Linked DNA regions of Rhinolophus ferrumequinum. The protein of the gene in region 1 interacts with the protein of each later gene in a biochemical or structural test. Links are inferred from orthologs where the notes say so. Each region holds a gene or a part of one and is shown in the gene's direction. Other genes may lie near its edges.

Region 1 (7,924 bases):
AGGTAAAATTTCGTAACTAGATTTAAAAATCATGTGTGGGAACATAATAGAGTCATTCAAACAGTAGTGTATTTGTGAATGTCAATGTGTGTGTTTAACCTGTCCAGCATGTTGAACTGGTTATACTTTTTTAAATTTTAAATTAAAATCTTCTAAATCTCCTGAGAATTTACATTGTCTAAAGACTGATAAATGGTATCTCAGATAAAAAGGAGGAGCAAATGTCAGAGCCCCGATTGTACATGGCTGCTGTAGATAAGTGACTCGACTGGATGACTGGAAATACAACACATTAATTTTCCTAAATTCATCTGCAAAATGGTTAAATATCACTATTAATGCCAACATTATTTTGCTGAATCCTTGGGAAATAAAATTTTTGACATGATTTAAAATGTTTGCCTTAAAAAGTAATATACCAGAATTTTTAAATACCTGAGGTCTGTCAGTGGGACTAGTTTAAATATAGTGGGAGTAAAATGGGAATCAATTCATGTACGACCAACTCCCACTACCAGGCCTGTATTTCCTTCCCAATATAACAATCATAGTATGCAATTATGAACCTGGGAACAAAGGTCCCCTGGTTGGAAGAAAAGCAAATGTATTGGCAAATCTCAAATGAAATAAACAACTGAGCATTAATTACAAAAATTAAGTGCCATGGGACCAAACATCAATATTCTGAAGGAGTCCCTGTGGTTGGGGAAAACTGAACCAAGGCACAATCTTCTGTCCCTAGAAACTCCATATGGCTCAGACTGCATACGTATACTGTTGCAGAGCGGAGACCATGTGTTGTGTATCATTTTATCCCCAGCACTTAACAGAAGGTCTGGCACAAAATAAATACTCAATAAATGTTTGTGGAATGAATGAATCTGCAACTGTAGTTTATACAGTGTTATTCCAACTTCTTAAAATGTGGTTAAGAAACACATTTTACACCAACTCATGTTACACACAAATGCACATGCATGTATAACACAAACGTTATGAAGCAACACTTTCTTGAATTCGAGGTATGCTTTCTGATAGTTTCTGTTCTCTTTTGTTCCTCTTTATTTGACATAAAAAAAATGCTGGGTATGACCCATTAAACTGATTTAATAAGCCACCAATGGATCAAGGCCAATAGTTTAAAATACAGATTTATACATTTCAATTTATATGGCTTCTTATATTTATAGGCTTCAGTAACTATATATCACTTTTTTTTAAATGACAAAATTTTTGTATCTGGAAGGGAATTTAGAAAGTATTCAAACCAACTCTAAAATGTTGCACTGGTTATGAATTCCCTGCAGTGGGATTCCTTTTATCAGTGTTGTTTAATTCAAATTTCCCCCGCCGAAAGCAGATTGGCCCTACCTCACACCATACACAAACTTTAACTCAAAATGGATCACAGACCTAAATGTAAGAGTTAAACCTATAAAACTCTTAGAAGAACACCTAGGAATAAATTTCCATAGCTTTAGGTTACGCACTGATATGCCATTCAGAGAAAAAATAGATAAATTAGATTTCACCGAAACTGAAAACTCTTTTGCTTCAGAAAACTCTTGCTTTAGATGACTCCATGGAGAAAAAAAGAATTACAGGACGGAAGAAAATATTTGCAAATTAAATACCTGATAAGGGACTTGTATGTAGAATATACTATAAATAACTCTTATAAATTAGCAACAAAAAGACAAATAACCCAATTTAAAAATGGGCAAAGGATTTGAATAGATGTTTCTTCAGAGGATACACAAATGGCCAATAAGCACAAGAAAAGATGCTTGTATAACTAGTCATTAGGAAAATGCAAATCAAGACCATAATGAGATACCATTTCACACCCATTAAGTTAGCTAAAATAAAAAGACAACAGTGTTGACAGAGATACGGAGAAATTGAAACCTTCATACATTGCTGCTGGAAATGTAAAATGTTACAGCCACTTTGGAAAACAGACTGGCAGTTTTTTAAAAACTAAACATAAAGTTACCATATGACTCAGAAATTATGCAATGAGGTATATGCCCAAGAGAAATGAAAAATATATGCATACGAAATCTTGGACGTGAATGTTCATAGCTGCATTGTTCCTAATAGCCAAAGAGTGTAAACAACCCAAATATTCATCAACGGATGGATGAATAAACAGAATGTGATATATTCATACAGTAGAATAGCACTTGGCCATAAAAGGAATTGAAATACTGATACATGCTACTACTACATAGGTGAGCCTCAAAACATTGTGCTAAGTGAAAGAAGCCAGTCACAAAAGACCTTGTGTGATTCCATTTATATGAATTGTCCAAAATAGATAAGTCTATAGAGACAGAAATAAATGAGTGGTTGCCTAGGGTTAGGGGGGGAGTAGGAGGTTTCTTCTGGGGTGATGAAAATGTTCTAAAATTAGATGATAGTGATGGTGGAACAACTCTGTCAATAAAGTAAAAATCATTGCATTGTACATTTAAAATGTATAGTATTTAAATTTTAGATTTTGTATATTATATCTCAATAAAGCTGTTATTAAAAAAAAAAAAAGAGCAGATCGGAACTCTGGAATGATCAAGAAATAGGATGCATGCAGCACTTCCAGGCCTGAAGGTAGAATGCTGAGCCACCTCAACCTGACTACCTAAATTGCAGGCAAAGAAACAGCGTTTTTCAGTGGTCAATAAAATGGTTTTCTTTGAAGTCCCTATAATAGAATCGTGGCCCTTAGCCTCTTATTTTAGGGGATGAGTGGAAAGATACACACCTATTGATTTAAGCTCTGAACTTTCTTTGAAATGATACTCATCCTCACAAAAAATTCCTTCAAACTACAAATGAAGGCATTCTGCATTAGAGAGCAAAGAACTAGGTAGGCATCCCCAACAAATTAAGATGCTAAAGGACTAGAGAGCATCCTGGGCAAGTAATTGATACGGTTCTTGAAATCAGGGATTTTATTCTCCTTTGGGAGGGCCAGGCCGAGAACAGGATGTGTAGTAAATGCAATTGTTAGAAGGCAAAGAAAGTAAGGCCTCAGGTCCGGAAGACCAGAGGCTTTCTGATTGGGCATCTGTCAACCCCCCTTTGAATGGGTCCTGATGGAGAAAGCAGCAGGAGAAGACGCTGCCCACGGTCTACCCTGCAGATTTATGACGCAGCATGCCCCTGACTACTTCTCAAACTTGAAAACTTGACGTCCCCACACCTAGCGTCTCACCGCTACCCCATGTGTCCGAGTCCCTTCGTGTAAGGAACACTGTTAAAATAATTCAAGAAATTATGTTAATGAGTTTAAGAAATACTTTTAATGATTAAAGCTAAAACTCTGTCACGTTGACTAATGAATACCAGTTTGAATTACAAATGAAAAAGGGGGGCTCTGAAAGTGTGCAGCACCATTAGGATATCAGATAAAAACCAGGTGATCGTAAGTATGCTTTTAACTACTTTTTGTCAAGAATGTCATGGAAAAGAGCAATTGCGGGGCGAGTGGGAATCTCGCAGAGCACTCTGCGAAAGGCGAGACACACTGGCCTGGAGAGGGCGGGCGGGCTCCAGAACCCCACATCCCGGGCTCTACTCTAACGTGACCCGGGGCATCTTTCTGAGCTTCGCCCGGGGCCCTTCTCTGTAAAATGGGACCATTCGGGGCCGCCTCCCAGCGGTGATTGTGAGGAACAAACCGGGCTGGGCGCCGAGTAGGCGCTCAGAAAAGGCAGCCTCGGAGGCGAGGGGCCCTACTGTGCGCCAGGGCGCGGGTGCCGCGGGCCGCTCCCTCCCCGCTCGCCCGCCGCCCACACCCCGCGCCCGCCCCTGGCCCCGCTCGGCCTCGGGCAGGCGGAGCCGACCGCACTCCAGGCCCCTGCGGAGCAGCCGCCTGGGGCGCTCGGTCAGCCGCCGGGACACTAGAGCGGGGCGCCACGCCGCCGCCGCCGCCGCAGGTCAGAATCAGGGTGCCCGGGGGCGCTCCGGCCCACGGGGCCTCGGGGCGGGAGATGCGGGGCGAGGGGAATCGGGGGAAGGCGGCGCGCAGAGGGGTCCGGGACCGAGGAGGGTCTATCTATGCTGAGAGCTGGCGGGGGCTGAGGGCTCGCTCAGAGGGGACCCGGACGGACTGAAGGGTCGCCGCTGAAGGGGTCTCTGGCTGAGGGGTCGTGGGCAGAGGGGTCACGGTCCGCGGGGACAGGGGCTGACAGGTCCGGAGCTGAGGACTGAGCCCCGAGAAGTCCCGGCGCAGCGCGAGCAAACGCGGCGGTGGAGGGCAAGGGCTGCACGCGAGGCGCGCCAGAGAGCGGCGGTCCAGCCCCAGGAGACGCGAGCCCTCGAGTCCTGCGCTGCCCTGGGTGGAGGTCCTAGAGGACCCGGGACCTCCGATCACCGGAGGAGGTGCTCAGGCTTCCGGGAGCGGCTCGCGGGGGACATTGGGGTAGAAACGCGGGATCCCGTGCGTGGCCGTCTGGCGGCCGTGGAGTCCTCTTGCTGGGTCTGCAGAACCCAGGCGGCGATCGCTGTGTAGGGTCGTAGTGACAGTTAAGCGAGGGACGCCCTTGGAGTCACCCAGCCCGGTGCCCTTAAGCTCTCTGCTGACTCTGAGCCGAGTGGAGGGGTGGGGGTGTGGGCTGGAGCCCCCAGGGTCGTCGGGGATGGAAAGTGCGGCTCCCTCTCATCCCCTGTTGGGAAAGCGAGTGTTAGCGTGTTGCAGGCCCCCACTCGTCCGCACAAGCTTTACTACTGCACTTGTAGCCTAACCGAGGTAGGTAATCATGGTCCCTCAGTGTAGGGGGTGCAAGGTGGGTGTGTAGTCGTGGTACTTTATGCCTTGGTATTTGGGGAGGAGCCTAAGGTAAGGAGGCAGAAACTGGGAGTAACCTATCTGCTGCTTTTATATAAGGTCAGTTAGGTAAAGAAGGGGCCTTTACCTCTGCTGGTGAATCAGAAGGCTGCATTTCTAAATTCTTCTTAACTCCCAGTGCTTAGGTGAGTCGGCTCACTGTAACTGCATTTTGCTGAAATGTTTTGGTGATGTATCCAAAATGTGCAAGATAACGTTGATGGTTAATTACATTATAGCGTTATTATTTTGCTGTGCTCTTGCTTTACGGTGAGAATCTAATTCACTTGAGTTTGAGGATAATGGTTGGAAAAATGAAAAATTATTTCAGGAGAATAAAGTAAAACAGCAGTGTGTCATGAAGAAGCTAAAGTTTTTCTTCTTTTCCTCCTTTTAAGCTTGGGGACAAAATGTAAAATTAATTTGTGTAAATTATCATCTGAAAACAAAACCGAGCAAGATGATGAACTGAGTTGTGTGAAACCTATTGCTGGAGAAACTCGATTTTGAAGTACAATTTTAATGTTAGGTGTTTTAATCATTCATGAAACAAATTGTAATGAGTTATTGGGAGAACAATAACCAGCTTACTTTTTAAAGGACCTGAGTAGATTTGTTCGACGGATCTCAGGTGTTCTGTGGCAGTCTTTCTTGTTTAGGGCTAAGTGTTCAATTCCTGGCTGAAAGTAGAACCAACCTGATGGTGCTAAATGAGTTAGAAAACCCTCTGGTATAGAGAATAACATAGACACTCACTGTGGCTTCTCTCTTAAAAAAATACCTTCCACTCCTATGCAAGTTTTATAGAAAATACTCATAGATACTCCCAGTTAGCATGTGGAGTGCTATTTCAAAAGATCCTATTCAAGTTTTAAAACAATTTTTGTGTTGTCTATTTTTCAATCAGATTCACTCTGGAGGTTATATATGTTCCATAGGATTCTTTAATATACAATATTTTAAAACTAATGTGTTAGCCAAGCAATGAAGTCTGTTACAAAACCATCCATTTTTGTCTTACTTTGTACTTCATATAATTTTTCTTCTTTATTTAAATTTCATGATATCTGATACTCCGCTTGCTGATAATTATATCTTAAAATAAAACACCTTAAAATTAACTAGTGACTGCTCAGCCTTTTCTTACTGGAAGAAAAATAACGTGATTTAATTTTTAAATCAAAACTCTTTTTCATATTTAAGTTGGTTTGTAGCTTTTGCAATAACTATTGTAAAAGCATGGCATCAGTGAAGTATAAAGGTTGGAGAATTTCAAGCTAAGTTTTTTGGTCATGGTTTTTTCATTCTTAAATTTAAAAGAATATAATTTCTTTTTTAAATTAAAACTGCAGCTAGTATTTTAAATAAATACACTATTTTCTTTGAAGAGACTAGTTTCCTTACTGTTCATTTCTTTGTATATTTCAGACTTACATTTAAAAGATAAATGATCATTTTTAAAAATCACAATGTTAATTTCAAAATCCCTGTGACATAAAATTATATTATCCCTATATATTAAAATTTGTACAAGAGAAAAAGTGTTACTGTAGGAATTTGCATTAGAAATGCACTGCTGATCATGGCTAATTGCTTTTAATTAGTAAGTAATATGACTATAAGCAAATACATATTTTCTCTCCTCTGTAATTCTCTGAAAATAAGGATGCTTGCCACTAACTTTAATTATCAAGATAATCATGCATGTAATAGCAGTGTGAAAGGCACTGCTATGAAAACATATGCAAGTATTAATAATGCATTTCGTTTTTAAATTGTGAAGCGGTTGTTAATAACTGGAGACTTTCGTGAAATAGGAAAAAAATGTTAAAATAATACATTACAAATGTCTTATATATTCTGGCCCATACTTTTGTTTCTTTCGTAGGCTCTACATATGCCCAATGAATAGAACAGAAAATGTTAGTCATTCTAATTTGTGAGTGTTTTGCTGAATTCATTGTCACTTGAATTTGGAAATATAATATATATCATAGGTGCGGCAAATGTACTGGAACAAGTTTTTGGTCTCATAGGATTCCACTAAATAAATATTAGTTGTAGAGGATGTTTTTTGAATCACTAATCAAGAGCATTTAAGACACCAGTCTATAAGCATAAACATACGCCCCTCCTCGCCTTAAAAACTGTTAAACTGAATTTCTAATTTACTTTTCTTATTTTTTCCTAGCAAATTCCCACGTAAGGGTAGTTGACTCTTGAGCTGTTCCTTTCTCTCTCTTAAGACTAAAAAGTAACAAAAAGAGCAGCGATGTAAAATGCTGACAAAGGTCCTTTAAAACTGATCGATTTGACTTCACAAAAGTACAGTAAGATCTGTGAATAACCATCTTGCAAGCGTAGATAGCACCAACATATCATACTTCAGTTAGTTTCATAGCATTCTAGATAAAAATTTTAAATTTAAGATTATTTGTAATCTTCCTGGGGGTTTCTTATTTACTATTTGTATTTTATCACAAGACAGATGTAGATTTGGGGGAGTTATATGGCATATGTTTTAAGCTTATTTAATAAAAATATCATGTTTTAATTTTTATTTACCTAAAATACTTAAGTAGGTTCTTGTAAGGAAATCCGCTCAAATACAATAGGCCATATTTTGGGCGAAATTTTTGTAGATACTAAGACAACAACTATCACCAATAATAGTATATACTTAAATTATTTTTTATTTTAAAAATGGGTTCATGTAATCTTAATGTTTTTCTTCAACAATGCGCACCAGTATTTTAATACTAAATATTTAATTCAGTATATGAGTGTGTTTACATTTTTAATTGTTTCAGTTATTATAGCGGGGCAAGTCTCTAATCCTTTCTAACTCTCCATTTCATCATCTGTGAAATGGGAAAAGTATTGCAGTTACTGTTCTGTGCTTTTTTGTTTTTTGTATGATTTTTAAGACTTGATCAGCAACCTGTGTATCTTAAATGATATGACGTTGGCCCTGAATTTAATTGAGCAGATATTTTAGAGAACCTTCATAGTTGTCTGCATTATATATAAGTAACTCTTTTACAACTGTTAATAGTTCACCCTAGCACTAATTTTGAGATTATTCTTAAGAGT
Region 2 (7,722 bases), on another chromosome or scaffold:
GAAGCTATTGTAAAGGTTATCTGGTCTTCACTTCTGCTTTGGACTGTGGTGATTTGTAAGAACAGGAGTGAGTCAGAGCACAGGCAGAGGGCATAGGGTGTGAGGGGGAAAGGATAACATGTACTCAAAACCCTAGTTTCTTCATTGCTTAAGTTTAAACTGTCAGCCCCAAATCACACAGATGTTTTCTGCTGGGTTGCTGTGGACACCAAAGGTCTAGTACGTGGGCTGATAGAAGAGAGTACCTGCAGTGTGATCCTAATTTTCTTGTTTTTTTTTTCCACCAGCTATGTCTATACAGCCACTCCACTCCACCTCCAGTCCTCACCCCCTGGCAAATTCCACTTGATGCCTTCACTTCAGCCTTAGCCTATAGTGTTTTGCAAGAACAGGAGTGGCTTTGATGAAAGAAGCATTGGTTAAACACAAACAAAGTAGTGTTTCTTAGATTTGCCTGATCACAGACTCATTTGGGAAGCTTGCTGAAAACAGCTTTCTGGGGCCCACTCAGAACCTACTGAATCAGAAGCTATAGGGACCTAAGGAATCTGAATTGTAACAGGTATCTCAGAGTTTTATGACACCACCAGAGAGTAGAGCAGCGAGCACTTGACTTAAATCAGAACATCTGAGTGCTACTGAGTAACTTTAAGTATCTGGAAAGTTCCGAACACATTTATTGAGGATGCTCCATGCTAAGTGCTTTATGGAACAGGAAAAATATCAGATTAGGAGACTTTCTGGCTGCCTGAAGCAGGTTCCCAGGTATTGCCTTGGCTGGGTCACTACAGGTGATAGCTGAACCTTGAATTTGTGGCTCCAGAAATTTGACACTGCGTTAGTATCATGTGTCAGTGTAACTCTGGAATTTGATTATATCAGCCAAGTTAAGGGCTAGTGAGCCTTTTCTCCCTGCCATTGCAGCACACCTCCAAAGTGGCCAAAGCTTCCATGTTACCAGGCTTTGACACGCCCCCACCTGGTCAGGGCTGCATCATCACAGCCATGTCAGTACCACCGTCTTCTAGGGTTCCCATGGACAGAGCGTAGAAAAGAGTGACGTGGGAAGAGCCTTGATGCCGGAGTCACAGTAATGGAGTCGGAATCTCCATTCCTTGCATACCTGCTGTATGACCATGAATATGTTTCTTAATCTCTCTTAGCCTCGGTTTCCTCATTGCAAAATAGGGATTATCAGGGTTTAATGAGAATTAAATGAGATTCTGCATATAAATTCAGTAACTTAACAAATATTGAATGCCTTCTCTATGCCAGTTCTGTGTCCGCTAAGCCTGGGACAGTAACCAACACCTAGTTGGAGCTCAAAGTACCACTTCCCTCTTTCCTTCCACCTCCCTATTCCATTTGGCACACTGTCCCGCATGGAGGAAAGGTGCACATTTCTCCCTACTGTTCAGAGCCAACTCCTTTCCCCTGTAATTGCCTCATAGCCTAACAAGTTGTTCTCATGATTTTTTTTTTTTTTTAGTACAGCAAAATACAGCTTTTGATTAAATTTTCTCTGGGAGAATTTTTTTGACACATTTTACTCTCTAAGGGACACTGTGCAGATTGCAAGCTGCCCAGTGGCCTCCCCACTACCCAGACCCCTGCCCCAAGTGCCCAGGGAAAATCTATTTCCAGTTCTCACTTTGATCACTAGATTACCCTTTGGGAGGAGGACTGAAATGTCTTCTTTGATTAAAATATGTCAAGGGTCACCTTTTGGAAGGAAACATTGTCACAAAGGGCTCTGGGGATGGCTGCTTCTGTGTACACGTTGGGCAGGGGTAATTTAAATCTGGGGTGTATGGATGGGTTCTGGGAAAGTACTGAACCCTAACATTGTTTGCTCCCTTGAATGTATGGGTGGACACCCCTGGGGAGAGGGCCCCAAGCTTTTGTCAGCATCTCCCTGGACTCCGTGAGTCTGGCCTGGAGTGCCTCTTTGCTCATGTTGGCTGAGCCAGCGCCTACTCTAATAGGTCCCCATGACAGAGATGGGACAACTGTTCTCTTTCTACATTCAAGCAGCAGTACTGCTAGCCATTACCTGATCAAGGAGCACAAGAAGAGTCAGGCTGGAACAAGCTGCTTGGCCCTAGAACTTGCCTTTGGACCTCTTAGAACTTGCTGTTGTCCTGTGCACACAAGATGGATCTCAGGAACAATGTCAGGGATGGTCTAAGTTTTCATAGCCCAGGTTCCACGAAGGCATCACTTAGGGGTTGCAAACCAAGGGGTGCCCTTAAGTTGGTGAAGGGCATCCTGCACAGTTGGAGTGTGGGCTGCTTCTACCACAGAGCCGGCCCTGAGGAGGCTGGGCATCCTCTCCCTTCTAACACGCCTTCTTTTGTCTCAATGACAGGGTTGCTAAACCGGTGAATTATGACACAGTCAAGTGTGAAAAAATCCTCAACAAGGAAACCTGCACCTATACAGTGGTGGAGCGGGAGGACCCAGAAAAGACTTGTGATGTCAGTGATTGGCTTGTATAATGTGCTTCCAGTAGGTCTGGGTCTCCCAGCCAGAGGGGGCCCTGGTCAGGCCTCCTTGTTCTATGGCTTCTAACAGTCTCTGATTATGTAACCCTTCCTATCAGTAAAATCATATTGAGCAAACACTTGAATATGTGTATACTTTCAACTTATAGATTATGTATGCATTGATATAATGCACATTATAAAGCATGCAAACATTTAATGGAGAGAAAAAATAAATATGAATAAAAGTCATTATTTTCCCTACACTCCAATAGATCATCGTACATCTCCTACTCAGGCACTGCTGTTTCTGATATAGCTGCACTCTGCTTGGCGTCCCTCTATCTGGTGAACAATTCAAAAATTAATGTGTCTTTAAAATGAATTCAGATTCCTTACATTCTTGGAGGTTTTATGTTTTTCCTTCCTTCCTCTTTTTCAGAGTGTCCTCCATGCTGTATCCCTCATATATCTCTATATTTGCCTTACGTTAAGGCAGGTTAGAGTGGAACAGCCTGGAAGAAGTAGCTGTGAGACCGACCACATGCAGCCTGATGGGGTATTAAAGGCCAAGAGCTCTGGCGTGCGGATGAGGAATGGCTTGCGTGCAGCATTCCAGTATCAGTTATTTCTTGCTGCATGCAGACCACCCCAAAAGTTGGGGACTTAAAACAGTGACAGTGCTGATCATCTCTTGCTTCTGTGTTGGAGAACATTTGTTCACCCAACAGGTCTTTACTGAGTGTCTTGGCCGGGCAGTGCTCTGGGCTGGGGGTACAGCAATGAACCAGAGAGACCAGGTCCCTGGTCTTCTGGGGCTTGGAGTCAGGTATGTGTGTATGTGACAGATCACAAACAAGCAAACAGTTTTCTGTTGAACAATCCATGGGCAATTGGTAAAGGGCTTTAGTTCTCCTCTTCCCTTTAACCCTATCTGTTCAAAAATGTTATAGGACTAGCTGAGCAATCCTAAGCAGGCCCCTTAGTTTTTTTTGGTCACTCTAAGATTAAAAAAAAAGTGCTTTGGTCAACTTTAGTGAATCTGCATCTGAGTTGAAGAGGGAATGGGGGTCAGGGAAGTTAAAGGTATGATGCAGTCTTGGCTCCCTCGGTTTGCGGCAGTGGTTAGGCTGATTACTTCCTCATGGGGCCTTTGTGGGCCTCTCCGACATTTTACACTGCCCCTCTTTCTCCACTTCCACCCACAGGCTATGACTGCCTTCTTAGCTTCTGCATCTGAATCTATGTTTCCTGGTGTTCTCAGGGGAGATTGCCTTGACCCTTGGAGGAGTCACTCTTGGGTGGTATCCATAAAAACCTATCGTGATCATCTTCTTTGTAAATCCTACTTAGATGGCCCTTTATCTTGCTGTGAAACATGGGGCACAATTAGCACCAAGTATGGGGACCTCTGTCTAAATGGAAACAGAAGGATTCCTATTTTAACACCTGCTCACAAATAAATGAACAACGAAAAAAACTCCAATGTGATAATGCCGCATTAAGTTGATCGTCATGAGGAGGTACAGAGTGGTGGGATGCAGAGTGTAGAAAACTGTGCTGTGACATGGTGCAAACAAACACATGCTTTGGAATCAGATAATGTGGCTTGGAATGTGGACTCTGACATTTATTTATTTATTTACTGAATTTTTAAAAAAATTGTGGGAACATATATATAACATAAAATTTACCATTTTACCATTTTTAAGTGTACAATTCAGTGGTATCAAGTGCATTCACATTGCTGTGTAAACATCATCACAATCCATAACCAGAACTTCCCATCATCCCAAATGGAAACTCTGTATCCATTAAACAATAATTCCCTTTCCCCAAGCCTGTGGCAACCACCCTTCCAGTTTCTGTCTTTATAAATTTGACTACTCTAGGTACCTCATATAAGTGGACTCATAGTATTTGTCCTTTTGTGTCATCTAACATTTATTTTTGCATCCGTACGTTAATGCTAAATAATACCTACCTTGTGAGTACATTTGGTGTGAGAGAATCACTTAGGATATTCCTCCATACAGAGTACAGAGTTTGCCTTCAACAAAGGCTTGTTTCCTTTAATCTGATTTATTCAGTAAGGACAAAAGAACTGTGACCAAGAGCTCAGGAAAGAATGTGCGCCTGCGCCCTGCACCCTCTGGAGGGCAGACAGCGCTTTGGGCTGACACCCAGCGGAGATCTCGCGAGATTATCAGACTGTGGCGTGAGGTGTGGGTGGAAGGTTGCGCTCTCGCGAGAACTCTGCCATTGGGCCTTTGGTTTGTGTCGGGCTGTGTCTCTCCGAGGAAGGTCCCCTCGGATTGCCGGGAGTTGCACTTGGAGCTGGTAAGAACGGGCGGGCGCGCCCCCTTCGGAGCCTTGGGCTGGTCTGAGGACCATGACTGCTTGCCTTACGGGCTTGGGCCTGCTTTCTGAGGCTAGTTTCTCCTTCGACCCGCCTGGCTCGTGGGCCACCTTCTGCCTGCCCTCTCCCCGGCCATCCACACTCTCGGCCTGGGGCCACCTCCTCCTGTCTGCCGCCTTCCCTCCGGCCCCGGGTGTGACAGCTGCATGTCACAGCGTCTCTTGGAGTGAGGAGGGGCCCGTTTTCTAGAACGGGCCCAGAGTATATGCATTCCTAGCCTGTTGGGTGGAAACGCTAAGAAGGCAATGTTTTTTCGGCCTTATATGCCAACGTAGCTTGATTATCTCCTTTTTTACAGATGAGAAGAGCGAGGCTTGCTCATTCATTGATTCATTCCCCCCAACAATCATTTATTCAGTGCCTGTGTGTTCAGGGTGTTGAGGATATAGCAATGAAAAAAATGGACACAATCCTGTTTTCATGGAACTAAATACTATGTCAGGGACAATAATTATATAGTCATATGTGCCACGTGGTGTAACATGGGATGATGTGATCCAGAATGGCAGAAGTCAGACTGCTAGGGTTTATCTGACTGCAAAGAGCTTTTTTCACTGTACCATTTTGTATTGTTTTCTAATCACGGTAAGGTACACCATAGCGTAACTGTTTCCACCACCCACTTGGTAATTTGGAAATATGAGACTCTTGAGTTACTTCCTGGGGTGAGGATGGGGACGTCATCATAGTTGGCTCACTTCTGCAGTGGGGTCGTAGTGTGACATTTCTGAACTTGAAATAACATCAGACCCTTGGAGGAAGACTTACCCATTACCCAGATGCTACAGTGGAGGTGGGCTTAGACACGTTACTTGGTGCACACTTTCCAAGGTTTGCTAGCTTGTGGATTTGTAAGTGAGATAATATATGTAAAGTCTAGCACAGTAACATTTCTTTTGTTTTATTTCTCCTTCCGTCTCTTCTGTGGAACTTTTGTCCTTGGGTCCCTAGGGAAAATCCTAGAGGTTTAAAGTTTTATGATATTTTGTGTCCTCTATAATTACATTATTAATTTTGGGCAAACAGGTATTTCAAAAGTGGGAAAGCATGGAGAGCTGTGTAAGGAAAGGAAGATGTGATTTTCAAAGGGGGAGGAGATATTTTAGAATTACATAGGACTTCCCACCTCACCCCCCTTCATTAAATCAGCTTAGCTGTGCCAGAATCTCGGGAACCTATGTAGGGGCTTCATAAAGCTGCACAGGGTATTCTGACACATCCTTCCCACAACCTGAGAGCCACTTAGCAAGTGTTTTATAGTTTCCCTCATAGAGTAAGTGTGAGCATACCGGAAGACATTCAGAGCCATTCATTGCTGCTGATGGACTTTTAAATTTGTCTCGTTTCACAGAATTAGTATTTTCTGCTAGATTTTTGGTGAATCAGGGGCACAAATTCTCTAGATGGCAAGTTCACCATTATGTCCTAAGGGACCTTCATGGTACATGTCAGCTTAGGTACTCAATAAATATCTGTCGAATGAATACATAAAGCCTTAATAACTAAATGTAATAATTTGGTTCAGTGAAGGAATGTGTAACTTACAAAATAGGTTAAAATATTTTGTTTGCTTGGTCATAGATAGGATGTTAAGTCTTTTAATACTTGGATGATTATAGATTTCATAAGAACATAATCTTGGGTATATGGTGACTTTTATTTTGTCATTATTGCTAGTCCCCTGGCTTTAGAAGAGGGAAAATATTTTATCAGTTGTTTACTTATGTGGGGGAAAATCCACAAGATGTTTACCATATAAAATCGGGATAAAGTGGTATTATTACTGTGATGGCAGATAAATAACATGTTTTTCTATCCTTGACTATATTGTGGTGAGAAGTTTCCAGTTGAAGATAGGGCAGGGCCCTGTTCTGAAAGCCTACTAAACTTCTGTGATGTCAGCGGGAATTTCTGTGGCGCTGCAAAATCTGAGCAAAAAAATTCCTGTGGCTGTAAATACAGCACTATTTCCCATTTTACTGAGAAACATGCTGGTGCTTGTGGATCTGTTTAGCTGAGCTTTGAAGGGTCTAGCGTCAGGAAAGACACTTTATCTCTGCGTCTATCTTGGAATCATGGTTTCAGTGGCAATATCCTTGCCAGTTTTGTCTTGTTTGAAAGAAAACTAAAAGTAATAGTTATGCTAGAAACATTTCCACTTTTGAAAAACCTCCTTGAAATAATGCAGGCCTTAGTGGGACATCAAGTTGATTATCTGTGTTTAAAGCAGAACTATACCTTACTTATGGTAGCTGGTCTTAATTTAAGCATTTATCATTTATTCATTCATTTATCAAACATGCATTAAGCCTCTGTTGAGTTTAGGACTACAGCATTGCATAACTCCAAGGACGCCTTCTCTTTGTGTCAATGCAATAGAGCACATGGACTGTGAAAGGGGTTGGTAATACCAACATACCGATACCAGGCATTAGCTGTACAAAGCCAAATAATATATGGTCTCTTCTTTTGGGGAGCTCTCAGGCTAAGGAGGCAGACATGTGACAATAAGGGTAACGTGTTACAGGTGTCATGCTGGAAACCTGTGAGATTGCAGTGGGCCCAGAGGACGCAGCAACTAACTTGATTGACCAAACCTATTGAGGGACGGGTGCTTGGTCAGCAAATGCTTAGTAGTAGCTGTGACATGAGCATAGTCAGAAAAGTGACAGATGAGGAGAAAGGAAGGAACTGACGTTGCTGGCAGAGAAAGCTGGGAGACCAAGCTGGACAAGGTGAACCAGCCTGGATTACGTACGGGACAGCTGTCTGGCAGATCATGGTGTTGGTGGCTGCTCTGGGGAGAATGCAGGAGTCAGG
Region 3 (6,969 bases), on another chromosome or scaffold:
ACTTGTGAAGAACAAGCAGGCAATCTCATTTTAGACACACTCAATCCAAAGAACCTAGAAAGTCCATCAGAGTTGCAAATAGAAGATTGCAACTTCAAAAAACAAAAGACAAAAAACCCCCACAAGAATAAAACATATCAGAAGACTGCTCCTGGGAAAGAACAGGAATTGTAACCAATATGTTACAAGTTCATGGTTCTCAACATTGTACTGAAGGTTCTATGTGAGATAATCCCTGAAAGGCAAAGTCATTTAATACGTGTGAGGTGTGAAGGATTAAACTCACACAAAAAAATGGGCTTAAGTTACTAGGTTTCTTTTGTGTTTGTTTTTAAATACAGTTGACAAGATGAGTTTTAGAAAAACCTTTGAATAATATAGGGATAGAGTACATATATTAAAATAGTTTATAGCATTTTTCTGCTTTCATAGCTGAAAAGGCTAATGTAAATTTTTTTAATTTTTATTTTTGACATTCAATATTATTTTATATTAGTTTCATGTGTACAGCATAATGGTTCGATATTCATATAATTTATGAAGTGATCCCCCCGATAAGTCTAGTACCCACTCGGTGTGAAAAGGTTAACGTAATATTGAACGTTTTGCTCAATGTTAAGTCATTAGAAAGTGAATCAGTGTAAACTTACGTTGCTTTATATTTTCAATGTAGTGAAGAGGTTAATAAAACGTTTCTGTGAAGGGCTATATTGAGAAAAAAAAAATAACCCTTGAAGGACTAAGAACAAAGTGAACAGATTCATACCGGTTGATAGAATTTTTCCCATTTCACAAGTGTGAAGGCTGAAGTTAAATGACTTGTTCAACATTATAAGAGTGAAAGAGCCCAAATTCACAGTCCTATCTTTTGACTATTCACTCAGTCCTCTTGTTACTTTACCACAGTGCCTGCAGCACTCTATCAAAAAAGGTCCCCACGAAGCTCTGAGTCCAACAGGGCCTTCGAACTTCTCCTTCTTCCAGAGTCACTTCAGTAATAGTTGTGTGGGAATGCTTGCCCTCTGTGTTGAGAGTAGGAGCTATAGCCTTCTCCTGTTTCTCTAAACATGTGGTCAGCCAACAGAAATATTCTTGAGCACCTACTGTATGCCAGACATTGTTCTAGTTGCTGGGATATAGAGTGACCGATTCCTTGCCCTCAGGGGATTTTTATACTAGTGGAGAGGGGAGACAATCAACCAGCATCAAATAACTAAACAAATCAATCATATCAGATTCGGATAAGTGTTAGGAGGAAAATAAAGTAGGGTAACATAGTATAAAGTAACTAGCACTGGCAACTTACGTTGGGACTGAGGCAGCCTGGGTTTTCAGCTAGGTTGTTTGGTGGCTTCATCAAGCAGGAAGACTGTAGAAATAGCAATAGCATACCCAAAATAGTAGCTTGAATATTGGAAATGGCAAATGATGAAATGGACAATGAGATAACATTTCCCTAATACATTATTGTGTGGACCAGGTAACCCATCCAGTGTTTTGAGTCTGGGCCAAGAAATGTGGACATGTAGAAGAAAATGAGACAGCTCCTGGGTGGAGGGTGAGGGTGGCTTTCCCTGGGAGAGAATAATGATGGTATAGTATCACTTCCTAACCCTGAAGTTATCCCACATTATCTTTTAAAAAAAGGGGATACTTATCATATACCAAGCAAACATTTTACATGAAGTAACTCATGTACATGGATTACTTCACAGAAACCACTCTTCATGTTTTACAAATAAGGAAACTGAGGTACAGGCGGCTTAAGTAACTTTCCTGTAAAGGGCTAAATAATGCCCCCCAATGATGTCCGTGTCCGAATCCTCAGAACCTGTGAATATGTTATCTTACATGGTAAAAGGGACTTTGCAAATGTGATTTAACAATTTTGAGATGGAGAGGTTATTCTAGATTATCTGGGTTTGCTCAGTGTAATTATAAAGACACTTATAAGAGTCAGAAAGGAGATGGAAGCAGAGTCGGAGTGATGTGGCCAGGAGCCAAGGAATGCAGGAAGCTTCTAGAAGGTGGAAAAGACAAGGAAATTGATTCTCCTCTAGCACTTCGAGAAGAAACGTCGCCTTGATTTTAGCCCAGTGAAACTGATATCAGAGTTTTGGCTTCCAGAACTGTAGCATAATCAATTTCTGTAGCCTTAAATCATTAAATTTGTGGTAATTTGTTACAGCAGCAACAGAAAACTAATACATTGCCCAAGGCCACGGAGCTACAAAGTGTCAGGGCCAGAATAAAAATTGAGGCAATCTGGTGCCAGTGCTAGAGATTTAGCCACTGTGCTATAGGGCTTCTCCCAGGTAGAACAAAATTTCAGGTTGAATGCAAAATAAATATTTTCTAGATTTTTCTCTTAAGCTTTGAATTTCTAGGTCCCAGAGAAACTGAAAAAAGAGAAAGGGGATCCTATGCCAGCTGATATACACCAGCCCCCACCCCTTCCCTGCTCCATGTCTTCAATCCTCGACCCAAGAGATCACTAAACAAACCTGCCATTCTAGAGATGAGGAATTTGAGGACTAAAGGGTTGTGATTTTGAAATTACCCAGCTGGTTGGTGAAACAATCAACTAGTTACACTAGGGGCAGGTGGTGGTGTGGGGAGACCCACTGATCTCAGTGCCTGTATGGAACTCAAGGAAGGAGGCTGTGTGACAAGTGAGAACCTAAGAATCTAGCTTTCCTGAAACCTGTGTTTCTCATTATTCAGTTAGGAAGGATGGAAAAAGAAATGTTGATTACACATCTACTCAGTGTAATATCTCTAGAAGAATCCAAAGTTCTCACTGTAGCAAGATTTAGCCCCTTGTGATTATTGTATTTCCCCATAGTAGCCACTTTGACATCCTGGTCGCTGCCCCTATTTCTCTAACACAGCACCTAAGACAGTGGGTGCTCATAAATATTAATAGAATTAAACAAAACACTTCTGTCATGCGGGGTCTCTGCTCCCGCTCCCCACATAAGAACACAGGATATGGTGAGGCCAAAAAGGAACACAAACGGAGCCATGGATAAGGGGTTCACACCACTATATTCTCGCTGGCGGCTGGGTTGGAGACACAGGAGGCAGGAGCCACACGATTCGCAATCCAGCGTCCACTTCTCTGCAACCCAACCAACCCAGCGTACCTATGGCAGTTATATCAGTGTCTAATGGCTAACCAGTAACAGCTGATGGCCAACTAGTCACAGCTGATGGCCATCTACTACCAGCGCCAGCACCTTTCCACGTGAGGCGGAGAGCCTGGAAACTGCTCTCTGGGACTCTGTCCCCACAGCTTTCGATTGCATGCTTAGACCAGTGCTTTTCCAAATTTAAGGTGAATGCAAATCCCCTGGGGACCAAGTTAAAAATGCAGATTCAGAGTCAGAAGGTCTGATTGGGGCCAGAGATTGGGCATTTCTACCAAGTTCCCATGATACTAATAGTGCTGGTCCATGGTCTATATTTTTCAAGGTCCCCAAAACTGAAACCTCCCTATCCATATACAAAATATAAGTCATAGAAAGTTTCATCATTCGGTGAAAGTTTCCAAAGATGGCATAGACATATATTTTTCCCGTTTTAGGCACCCCTGCCCTCCCAACAAAGGGAGCAAATGAGATGCCAGAGTTCAATGGAAAGAGTTGGAACAGTGCCGCAAGTACCTGTTCCCGGCTCTGCTTTGGTCTTCCAGAGGCAGGGAAGGGTGTGATGAGAGCAAACAGGAAAGTGTCCAGGAGTTCTCAGGCCTCCCTTCCTCTTCTAGTTCCAGCCTCTAAGTAGTGTCTGCCCCTTATGAACCGCTGAAGTCGCCGTCAAACACACGGGAGCGCAGCGCCGCGCCCCCCTCCGCGCCCTTGCCCAGGCGGAGACGGCCGACGCGCGTGCGTGCGCGCTCAGTATAAATAGCTCCCAGGCGGTTGCCACTGGACAGAGTCCGGCTGCGGACACCGCGGGCCATGGCGGGTGAGGACCACCAGTCGCAGGGCAGCATCCTCTACAACATACTCATGAGCGCGAAGCAAACGCACGCGGCTCCGGAAGCACCGGAGGCTCCCAAGGAGAGGCTGGGGGGCGCATGCTGGGGCTGCTCCTGCGGCGCGGAGCCCCCGGTGGGCAGAGAGGGGCTGCCGGGTGGGAGGGCAGTAGCGCTTCTATACCGCTGCTGCTGTTGTGGTGAAGACCACCCGCGGCAGGGCAGCATCCTCTACAACATCCTTACGAACGCAAAGCAAATGCAAGAGGCTCCGGAGGCGCCCGAGGCGCGGATGCGGGGCGCGTGCTGGGGCTGCTACTGCGGCGTGGAGCCCCCGGTGGGCAGAGAGGGGCTGCAGGACGGGCGAGCCACGGCGCTCCTGTACCGCTGCTGCTTTTGCGGTGAAGACCACCCACGGCAGGGCAGCATCCTCTACAGCTTGCTCACAAGCGCAAAGCAAACGCACGTGGCTCTGAAAGCGCCCGAGGCGCGTCCCGGAGGCGGGTGGTGGGACCGCTCCTACTGCGCGCAGAGGCTGGGGGGCAGCGAGGAGCTGCCAGGTAAGACGGCAGTGGCGCTCCTGTACCGCTGCTGCCTTTGCGGTGAAGACCACCCGCGGCAAGGCAGCATCCCGTTCAACGTGCCCACGAGCGCAAAACAAACGCACGCGGCTCCAGAGGTGCAGCCGGGGGCCCCCTGGTGGAACCCCTTGTGTAGCGCGCAGCGGCTGGTGGCCCTCAAGAATCCACAGGTGGTCTGCGAGGCGGCCTCCGCAGGCCTGTTGAAGACGCTGCGCTTCGTCAAGTACTTAGCCTGTTTCCAGGTGCTGCCCCTAGACCAGCAGCTGGTGCTGGTGCGCAGCTGCTGGGCTTCGCTGCTCATGCTCGAGCTGGCCCAGGACCGCATGAACTTTGAGACAGTGGAGACCTGGGAGCCCAGCCTGCTGCAAAAGATCCTCACCACCAGGCGGCGGGAGATCGCGGGCGACGAGCCGCTGCCTCTCCACACGCTGCCGCCAAACTTGGTACCGCCCATGGAGGGGCGGCATTTGCCGTGGGCCACCGAGGTCCAAGCCATCAAGAGCTTCCTTATCAAGTGCTGGAGCCTGGGGATCAGTACCAAGGAGTACGCCTACCTCAAGGGGACCGTGCTCTTTAACCCGGGTAAGGGCGCCGGCCTGGGGCTCTGGGTTTTCTCTGCTCAGTAGAGCGTTGGTCAGTGCCTACCTGGGGCACAGGGGCTGAACAGCTTTCAGTCGTCAGGGAGTGTCTGGGCAAACGTGAAGAATGGTGATTAACTCAGCATAGTTGGGGGAGCTTCAGAAACCAACCACATCGCGTGGGTAGGCTGCTGCCAGGAACTCAGCCTAGAGGAGGGGGATTTTTTTGTTGAGGTCTGTGCTTGTCTCTACAACTTTCTGTTACTACAGAAAAATTTGTGCCTTCAAGGGACATGGCTATTCCTTCTCTTCTAGTCTTTTAAGTCCACTAGCATAGCTTTAAAAAAACTTTGTGTTCACTGCAAGTTCTGCAACATCTCTTTCTGAATCCCAGTCCTGAAATTTACTAGAACTTCTTTGTTGGAAAAACTCTATTATAAAGACTGGCAAGAAAGGAAACATTTGTTAAGGACCCATAGAGAGACCATCCCCTGGGGACACTGTCAGGCAGGACACTGGACTTGGTGTTTCTGGATCTGCCTCTGAATGGTCATTTTTATGGTCCTAAGCAACTGGACTATTTTATCCTCCAAGTGTCTGTGATGTATCAGGCTAGCAAAGGGGCAGGAAAAAGACACACTAGGTACTTCGACCAGGAGCACTGTATTTTAGAGCTCAAAAAGTCCTTAGAGACCTCCTAATCAACCCCTCTGCCCTCCACCCCACTTGCAAATGATGTACCCTAGTCTCAAGTGACCTTACTCCAAAATAAATGGCCGATGAGTTATGGAGCATGGACCTCCTGTCTCCTGGGCCCAATGGGATGTCTGTTGGATGCTGGGCACTTTCCTCCACACAGGACAACCATATCATGGGAGAACATCTCCCTGGACAGTTCGGCACCTAGTCTTGAGTATGTCTTACTACTAGAGTCATCTTCAACCAGAATCCCACCACAAGGGTCACAGAGTGCTGGAAGTCTCCAGGCAGCTTGAATTGGGGTAGTTTTCATAATGTTCTCTCCATATCCTTTTTTCCTGACACCAGGAGTCTTTGGTTATGTCCTTGCCTCCTGCCTAGCATTTTTTTAAAGGGGTATAGAGCAGTAATTAGTGGGAAAATAATTCATTCAGAACTCACATTTCAGGATCTAGAGACCTCAGCTCATCCCAGCGATCACTGTAGGTCGTCACCTTTTGCTTATATCATTGTTGTCCAAATTTGCCTGTGCGTAAGAAACACTTTAGGGAAGCTTGTTTAAAGTCTCTCCAGGCTCCTTCCCTAGAGGTTCTGACTCAATAGCTCTGGTCCAGGGTCTGCAAATCTGCATTCATAATAAGTGCCTCATGTGGTCTTTAAGATAATTGAAAAACTGTTTTCTCCTTCAGTCAGTGTTATTAAACATCTACCATGTGCCTTGTTCTGTTGGAATACAAAGATAAGATGGGTTCAGCTTCCAGTTTACTTTCTACTAGTTACTACTTTCCCTCTTCTGCCTTGTTTTGCATACTTTTGTCACACACACACAGGCATGTACGCAAGCACGCACCTCCCTTATTCTTGGTTTACTTTCCCGAATCCTCCCAATATGAGTTTAGCCAGCTAAGCTGAGTGTGTTTTAAACACAAATGCACTATATGGGGGCTGGGGAGTAATATCTGTGTAGTGTGTATCCTTTCTTTGCTGTTTATCTGTTTCTATACCTTGATTTTTATGTTTAAACTTTTTTTTTTTTTTTTTTTTTTTTTACAATGGAGTCCATCTATTTGCCTTTTCTCTTTCATGAATCTGCTTTGAAGGCAAATCAGGGAGGGAGGTTGGAAAAGGAGGGTGT
Region 4 (6,794 bases), on another chromosome or scaffold:
ACCACGTCTTATACTGTATTTCCCAAAAAATAAGACTGGGTCTTATATTAATTTTTGCTCCAAAAGACACATTAGGGCTTATTTTCAGGGAATATCTTATTTTTTTCATGTACAACAATCTATATTCAAATACAGTCATGTCATCTTCTTCTGAGACATCGTCATAACATACTAAATGCATCTGTCTGGCTGACGATCTCAACTGGGGCTTATTTTTGGGGTAGGTCTTATTTTCAGGAAAACACAGTAGTAAACTTGGTTAACTGATTGTCCAGTTGGTACAACTTCATAATGAATAATCCCTCTGATATCAAGTTCACGAATGTAATTGTCAGACCTCATATACATACATATTTTTTCTTTTTAATTTGAAAAAATAAAAATTTAAATTGATTAAAAATTTGTTGGTTAGGACCACTGTTTCTTCCCACTCTCATCCCACTTCCCAATATGAATGATTCCCAAGACACCTGGAAATACGTCGGTGATGGGGGAAGAAACAGGGTATGTGTAGAACAAAAAGCAAAGCTGCACCAAATCCTATCACTTAGTCATCACTAAGTTGTCATTTCATATTGACACCAACTCAAAAGAGAAGTTCTCTCCTATAAGGAATAATGCAGCATATGCAATTATAAATGCTTCATGCATATTTTTCTTTTTTGATAAGAATTACACAAAGTAGAATTTATGAAAATTCCTACTACAAACCTATAAACAGTGCTACAAGTAGCATATACATCTATGTGTGAAGTTTATGTCTCTTATCAAGAATGAAATTTTGTTGATCAATCCTGCGAGTGAAAAGATAAAATCATCTCTCTAGTCTCACTGTAGAAATTTATTTTTAAAAATCATTGACAGCTCTACCTCCTCCCCTTCTTTTCTCTTCCTGAAAATTTCAGTCCTAAAACTATTAGGTTGTGTGGAACAAGGTAGAGGTATGCGCCCCAAGTAGAGGAGGCGGGAGCCACAGTGGCCCAGAGCAAAAGTCAGAGCCCCAGCATGGTGAGGAGGGTGTCCACACAGAGCGGTGACCTGGCATGGGTGACAGGGGCTCAGTAGGGAGAAGAAGGGGGTCCCTGAGTGGCAGGTGGCAGCCTGACACAAGGTATCAGAGCCCAATGGGTGAGGAAGGTATCTCATATGGGACAAAGTGGTGGCAGAAATGGAAGACTGGTTAAAAACAAGGGCTTGATGCAACAGGTTAATAAATTAAGAATAATGGAAGCCAGATTGCTCAGTGTCAGAAGATGGAGGTATAAATGGAGATGAAAACTACAATAACCCCCTTTACGGTGTATTAGAATTGGAGATAATAGTCTGAACTCATGGTTTTTTAATATGTATAAATAATTAATAGAACTAAGTATGAATGTGTGTGTGTTTGTACGTGAGCACATGTGGGCGTTTCTTAGCTCTGGGAGGGCCTGGGAGCAGTGACACCTTAATTGCAATGAGAGGGTCTTGGTTTCTAGACATGGCTCTAGTGCCCAGATTATGGTTTTTAAATACTGTTCTCCACTAAAACATTGAATCAGAGCTTCTTGGAGTACTGACTGATTCCAGAGGCTGGAAAAAAGACACCTTGTTATACCAGAAAATAAGGGATGTTCGAGGAACAATGGGGAATGTCGAAAGGATATATATAGACTCAAGCTTGAAGGGGCTCCCATTGGCCAAATCTGTGACAATCTGAGCATCAAAATAAATAATGATAGTAATAGATTACAAACCACTGAATAAAGTAGGAGACCATGAATTCATATGTACATACGTACATACATACATACATACATACATCAAAGTATGAGGAGGAATAACTACATAGTTTCAAAGTGCCTCCTTACAAAATACTGATTCGTTACAAAGGAGAAAGAATAACTATAGTGGAGAAGCCTGGCAGACATCCCTTAAGTGACCAAAGTGAACCATGGGCCAAATGGAGAATAGTCAAGAAGAACACAACATCAGTTTTGTGATATTGCTACTAAAGATACATAATTTGAATCTAATCAAATTGAGAGTCTTGTTACAAAATAACTACAACTCTTCAAAAGTGTCAAGGTCCTGAAAAGCAAGGAAAGACAGAGGGAAAGTTTACTGACTGACAGACCAAGGAGACATGACAAAGAAATGCAATGTGAGATTCTGGACTGAGCACGGTCACTGTCACTGATTTCACAAGAGCATTTGGTGAAACTGAAATGGGGTCTGAGATTAGATATTACTTTCCTGATTTTGTTCATTGTTAATTTCCTGCTTTTGATGATTATATTGTGGTTTTATAAGAGAATGTCCTTGTTTGTAGGAATTACACACTAAAGTATTTGAGAGTTCTGGGGCATCAAGTTAGCAATTTACTTTCAAATGGTTCAAGGTAAAAAAAAAAAAAAAGTTCCCTGTACTGTACTTGCAATCTTTCTGTGTTTGTGATGCTTTCAAAAGAAATAGTATTGACATGTGAAAAGGTGAGCAAAGAGGGTACAGCTAAAACACGTAGGCAAATATTGTCAGGCAACCAGTAAAAGTATCTTGCTATTCTCCTGGGTTTGTGACATTTGTATTTTCTGTCAGTTCATTTTAGTTTGTAATTGGTAGTGATTTGTTTTCGTATTTTAAATATTCACTTCTATACCTGATTCTCTATTGTTAAAGAGGGTCCTTCAAATTGTATAAGCTTCAAGCCCCATAAACCAATATCTACTATTGGCCTTTGTTGCCACCCTTTTAAGGATGAGGAAACTGAGGCACAGAAATATAAAATGACTTGCCCAAGGTCACTCAGCTAAGTGATGAAGCAGAATTTGGACCCAAGCAATCTGACTCCAGAGTCTCTTTTGAGGGGACGCTGTGGAAAATTCAGTGAGAAAAAGGATGTGAAAGGAACTTTATACATGTTAAGATTAAGACAATTCACAATCAAATGAAAGAGGTGTGCCTGTTTGTCTGCTGGGGCTTAGTTCCTTAGACAGAGGCAATGGGGGAGCAAAGTTCTACTGTATGCCAAAAACTGCTTGGAATTTGACATCCAGGACCTCACTTTGTCCTCACAGCAGCCCTGCAGGCAGGCATTACTGTTTCAAATGAAACTCCAGAGGCCCACAGAAATTTGGAAATCAGCCCATGGTCACACAACTGTAAAGTGATAGAGCCAGGAGCAGATGCCAGGGATGGTGATGGCTGCCCAGGCTGGGCTTGCCAAGGTCCACAGACATGACACAGCCGAGGACCTTCCCGCCACTCTCACATAATATGCCCCACTGTCTGAGACAGAGTTGCTGAGTGGTTGGTAGCAAAGCAACATTTCTGCCTAGATCATAAGTGGGCAACATCTGCAGACCAGGCAGCACCAAGGTAGGGGTCCAGGTAGCCACCAACTCTGGGAAACTCAGGCCACACAGCTCTTGCTGCACAATTGGGCCAGTAGATTCAGGGGAACAAGCAAGGACTTTGAAATCAGATAGATCTGGGCTCTGTCTCTTCTTAGTGGCATGACCTTGGACAAGTCACTTCCCCTCTGTGAATCTCAAAAAGTAAAAATCTTGCTTCATAAGGAAGCTCTGAATATTAGAGTGGAAAGTAGCACATAGAAAGTGTTCAATAAACAGTAGCCATATTACATTATCATTCTGCCAGTGCTTCTCAGCAGATACGGCCTTTCAGGAGCTCTAGGAATACAGACTGGGGAGAGAGAGTTCATTTCTGCAGGGCCCCCAGAACTGGAGTCAGAGGAAGGGGCCTCCTAAACTGTTCAGTGGGCAAAGTCCTCCCCAGCCCCCCAGGGTCCCGGCTCCCTTCTCTGCAGCCTGTTCCTTACCAACAACAGGAGCTAGGCCCCAAGGTTAGGCAAACAAATCAGCGATAAGGCATTTCCAGGTTGGGCCTTGCATTCAAGGCTTGTCCAGCTCTGGGGCTGACTTCCCAGCTTAGCAAAAGTCCTGCAGGCACCAATAGGGACACCTGCCATGGCCACCTGCTGATTATGCACCTGAGGCCTTGGTGCCCTGGTACAGCCTGGGTTAATGACCCTGTTTATCTGCTTGAGTCATCTGATAAGGGGCAGCCGGCCCAGCGGACAGGTGGCCCCATGCCTTGCACCGACCACTTCATTGACTGAAGCCTATCAGGGCCACGTGGAGCTCTCAAGGCCCCCGCCCCCAGCACTTCCCCACCAGTCCTGCCAGGGTCAGTGTCTTTCTTTTTTTTCAATGAATATGACTTCTGGAGTCAAGGTTGTTGGGCTGCTCCCCCCTCCTCCCCATTGGGAATATAAATAGTGCCCACAGTGCAGAGGGCGGGAGAGCAGGAGGAAGGAGGAGCATTTCCTCCACCATGAGCTCCAGTCAGCCGGGGACCTGCCCATGTCAGGGTGCTGCAGACCGCCCAGCCATTCTGTACGCACTCCTGAGCCCCAGCCTTAGGGCCAGGCCCTCTGTGCCCCCTGCCCGCAGCCACTGCCTGTGCAGGCAGCACCGGCCTGTCCGGCTGCGTGCTCCCCATCGCACCTGCAGGCAAGCCTTGGACGTTCTGGCCAAGACCGTGGTCTTCCTCAGGAACCTGGCATCCTTCTGCCAGCTGCCCCCCCAGGATCAGCGGCAGCTGCTGCGAGGCTGCTGGGGCCCCCTCTTCCTGATTGGGTTGGCCCAAGACACTGTGACCTTCGAGGTGGCGGAGGCCCCGGTTCCCAGCATACTCAAGAAGATCTTGCTGGAGGAGCCCAGCAGCAGCAATGCAGGCAGCGGCCAGATGCCGGATCGGCCCCAGCCCTCGCTAGCTGCGGTGCAGTGGCTTCAGTGCTGCCTGGAGTCTTTCTGGAGCCTGGAGCTGGGCCCCAAAGAATATGCCTATCTGAAAGGGACCATCCTCTTCAACTCTGGTGAGCTCTCAGACATTCCAGGATAAGGGCCGAGGCTGGAGGGGGGCAGGGCCCAGCCAGGGAAGGCACCTTTTAGGGGTTTGACATTCATTATCTCTTTGGGTCCTCTTTATCTCCAGTCATCTCACAAAAGAGGCTCACAGAGGCTAAATGATCTGCTGAAGGTCATAGAGCCAGGAAGGGGCAGAACAGGGATTAGAATTCAGGTCTGTACATACTAGAGATTGGCCCTTACCACTCTGCCCAAGAAGCTTGCCCTGACACTCAGGAAAAGAAGGAGTGGGGGAGGGGAGGTTGGGCAGACACAGCTATGCCTCAGTCAAGGTAAAACTGTGGGTTCAGAAAGACCACACAGAGAAGAGGAAAGAAAATGAGGGAGTGTGGGGAAGGAGTCTTTGTACCATTTAGCTAGGAGAGCAAGGGATAGAGGTAGTGTTGTTTGTAATTTGGAGAACATCTCGATAAGAATTCCTCACCAACAGGCCCTCAAGGAATACGTAAATTATAGTAATTAATTATAATAATCTAGCGAAATACTCATATTACACTTACTGTATGTTAGGCCCGATTCCATTTTTTACATATATTAGCTCATTTAAACCTCATAACAAGCCTACAAGATAGGAACTATTATTATACCCATTTTACAGATGAGGAAACTGAGGCACAGAGATAAGATAATTTTCCCAGTGACCTCAGGTCTGGGGCCAGTCTCGCCCTGTGGTGGCTGGGAGTGGGATGCTCACCAGTGCTCTTCACCCTCTGCCCGCAGACATGCCAGGTCTCCATGCCTCCTCCCACATCTGGCACCTGCAACAGGAGGCTCATCAGGCACTGTTTGAGGTCCTGGAGCCCTGGTGCCCAGCAGGCCAAGGCCGGTTGGCCCATGTCCTCCTCACAGCCTCCTCCCTCAAGTCCATTCCACACAGCCTACTTGGGGACCTCTTCTTTCGTCCTATCATTGGAGATGTTGACATCGCTGGCCTCCTCGAGGACATGCTTTTGCTGAGCCGACCTGCTCCAGCCCAAGCAGAGATCAGGTATAGTTTGGGCAGAAGCTGGCAGCGCTGATTTGGCCCAGCTGCCCCCAGAAGTGACCCAATGCTCTGAGAGGGGGCAAGCCTATTAGAGAGCACTCAGCCCCCTAGGAGAAAGCTGGCCCTAGCCCAGCCAGACGGACTATGTGCCCTCTCACTCAGCCACAGCCTGTCTTGGTCTTCCTTGGTTTGGACACAGTGCTCCAGCTGTCTGGCCGGCCCTTGGAGGTCCCCAGAGTCTCTGGGCCAAGAATCCTGTCCTCTCCTGGGATGGAGACGGAAGCTTAGACGGCTCATTGGGCCAAAAGTCCTACTGACTGTACAGAATTGACTTAAGTTATTGGTTTTTGTAATAAAAGGCTTACACCCTTGGAGGCTGACATTGTATTTTGTACATTTGGAAGGGACCATCTCACCGCCAGGGTCCACCCTGCCCCCATCAGAGGGAGCCCAAGAGGAAGGAACCATAAGGGGTGCAAGAGCCAGACCTCAGAGAACCAGGATATTAATTTTCAGAGTGGAATGATGATTTCATTTCTGAGGATGGGATTGATTTTGCACATTTCTGAGTCCAGGGGATAGGATCAGTTCAGGACCCCGTCACCTCCTTGCCTTTATTTCTGTGGGGGGAGCAGTTTCTCTTTGTCCCCAAACCCCTCACTGACCCCTCAGCTCCTGCCCACTACAGGCGCCCAATCACAGACAATAAGGAAAACAAAGCAGCCCATTCCCTAACTGAAATGGACAAGGTCACTGGAATTTCTGCAGTTCGGCATCATCCACTTCCTCCAGGCCTTCAGACAACAGAAGAGGATGGCCTATTGTTCTCCCAATGGGAGGGGGCAAGGGTATCCAGGGCTGGCCTGGCTACCGCCTTG

The links.
Region 2: the proteins of PPARG (region 1) and NCOA4 form a complex in vitro, tested with the Homo sapiens proteins (2 studies listed by BioGRID, with this or other methods). The link is inferred for Rhinolophus ferrumequinum from reciprocal best matches to the Homo sapiens genes PPARG and NCOA4.
Region 3: the proteins of PPARG (region 1) and NR0B1 form a complex in vitro, tested with the Homo sapiens proteins (2 studies listed by BioGRID, with this or other methods). The link is inferred for Rhinolophus ferrumequinum from reciprocal best matches to the Homo sapiens genes PPARG and NR0B1.
Region 4: the proteins of PPARG (region 1) and NR0B2 form a complex in vitro, tested with the Homo sapiens proteins (2 studies listed by BioGRID, with this or other methods). The link is inferred for Rhinolophus ferrumequinum from reciprocal best matches to the Homo sapiens genes PPARG and NR0B2.

Annotation. Positions count from the first base shown.
Region 1 is NC_046300.1:42,145,476-42,153,399, reverse strand, and holds the start of PPARG (peroxisome proliferator-activated receptor gamma), read left to right. Parts: upstream 1-4,911; 5' UTR 4,912-4,977; intron 4,978-7,924. UniProt on the Homo sapiens protein: Nuclear receptor that binds peroxisome proliferators such as hypolipidemic drugs and fatty acids.
Region 2 is NC_046299.1:64,575,883-64,583,604, reverse strand, and holds the start of NCOA4 (nuclear receptor coactivator 4), read left to right. Parts: upstream 1-4,707; 5' UTR 4,708-4,823; intron 4,824-7,722. Other genes in the region: MSMB (beta-microseminoprotein), read left to right, coding at 2,369-2,498. UniProt on the Homo sapiens protein: Cargo receptor for the autophagic turnover of the iron-binding ferritin complex, playing a central role in iron homeostasis. Acts as an adapter for delivery of ferritin to lysosomes and autophagic degradation of ferritin, a process named ferritinophagy.
Region 3 is NC_046284.1:102,306,679-102,313,647, forward strand, and holds the start of NR0B1 (nuclear receptor subfamily 0 group B member 1), read left to right. Parts: upstream 1-3,959; coding exon 3,960-5,139; intron 5,140-6,969. UniProt on the Homo sapiens protein: Nuclear receptor that lacks a DNA-binding domain and acts as a corepressor that inhibits the transcriptional activity of other nuclear receptors through heterodimeric interactions.
Region 4 is NC_046292.1:18,430,330-18,437,123, reverse strand, and holds NR0B2 (nuclear receptor subfamily 0 group B member 2), read left to right. Parts: upstream 1-4,230; 5' UTR 4,231-4,335; coding exon 4,336-4,879; intron 4,880-5,651; coding exon 5,652-5,950; 3' UTR 5,951-6,290; downstream 6,291-6,794. UniProt on the Homo sapiens protein: Transcriptional regulator that acts as a negative regulator of receptor-dependent signaling pathways. Specifically inhibits transactivation of the nuclear receptor with which it interacts.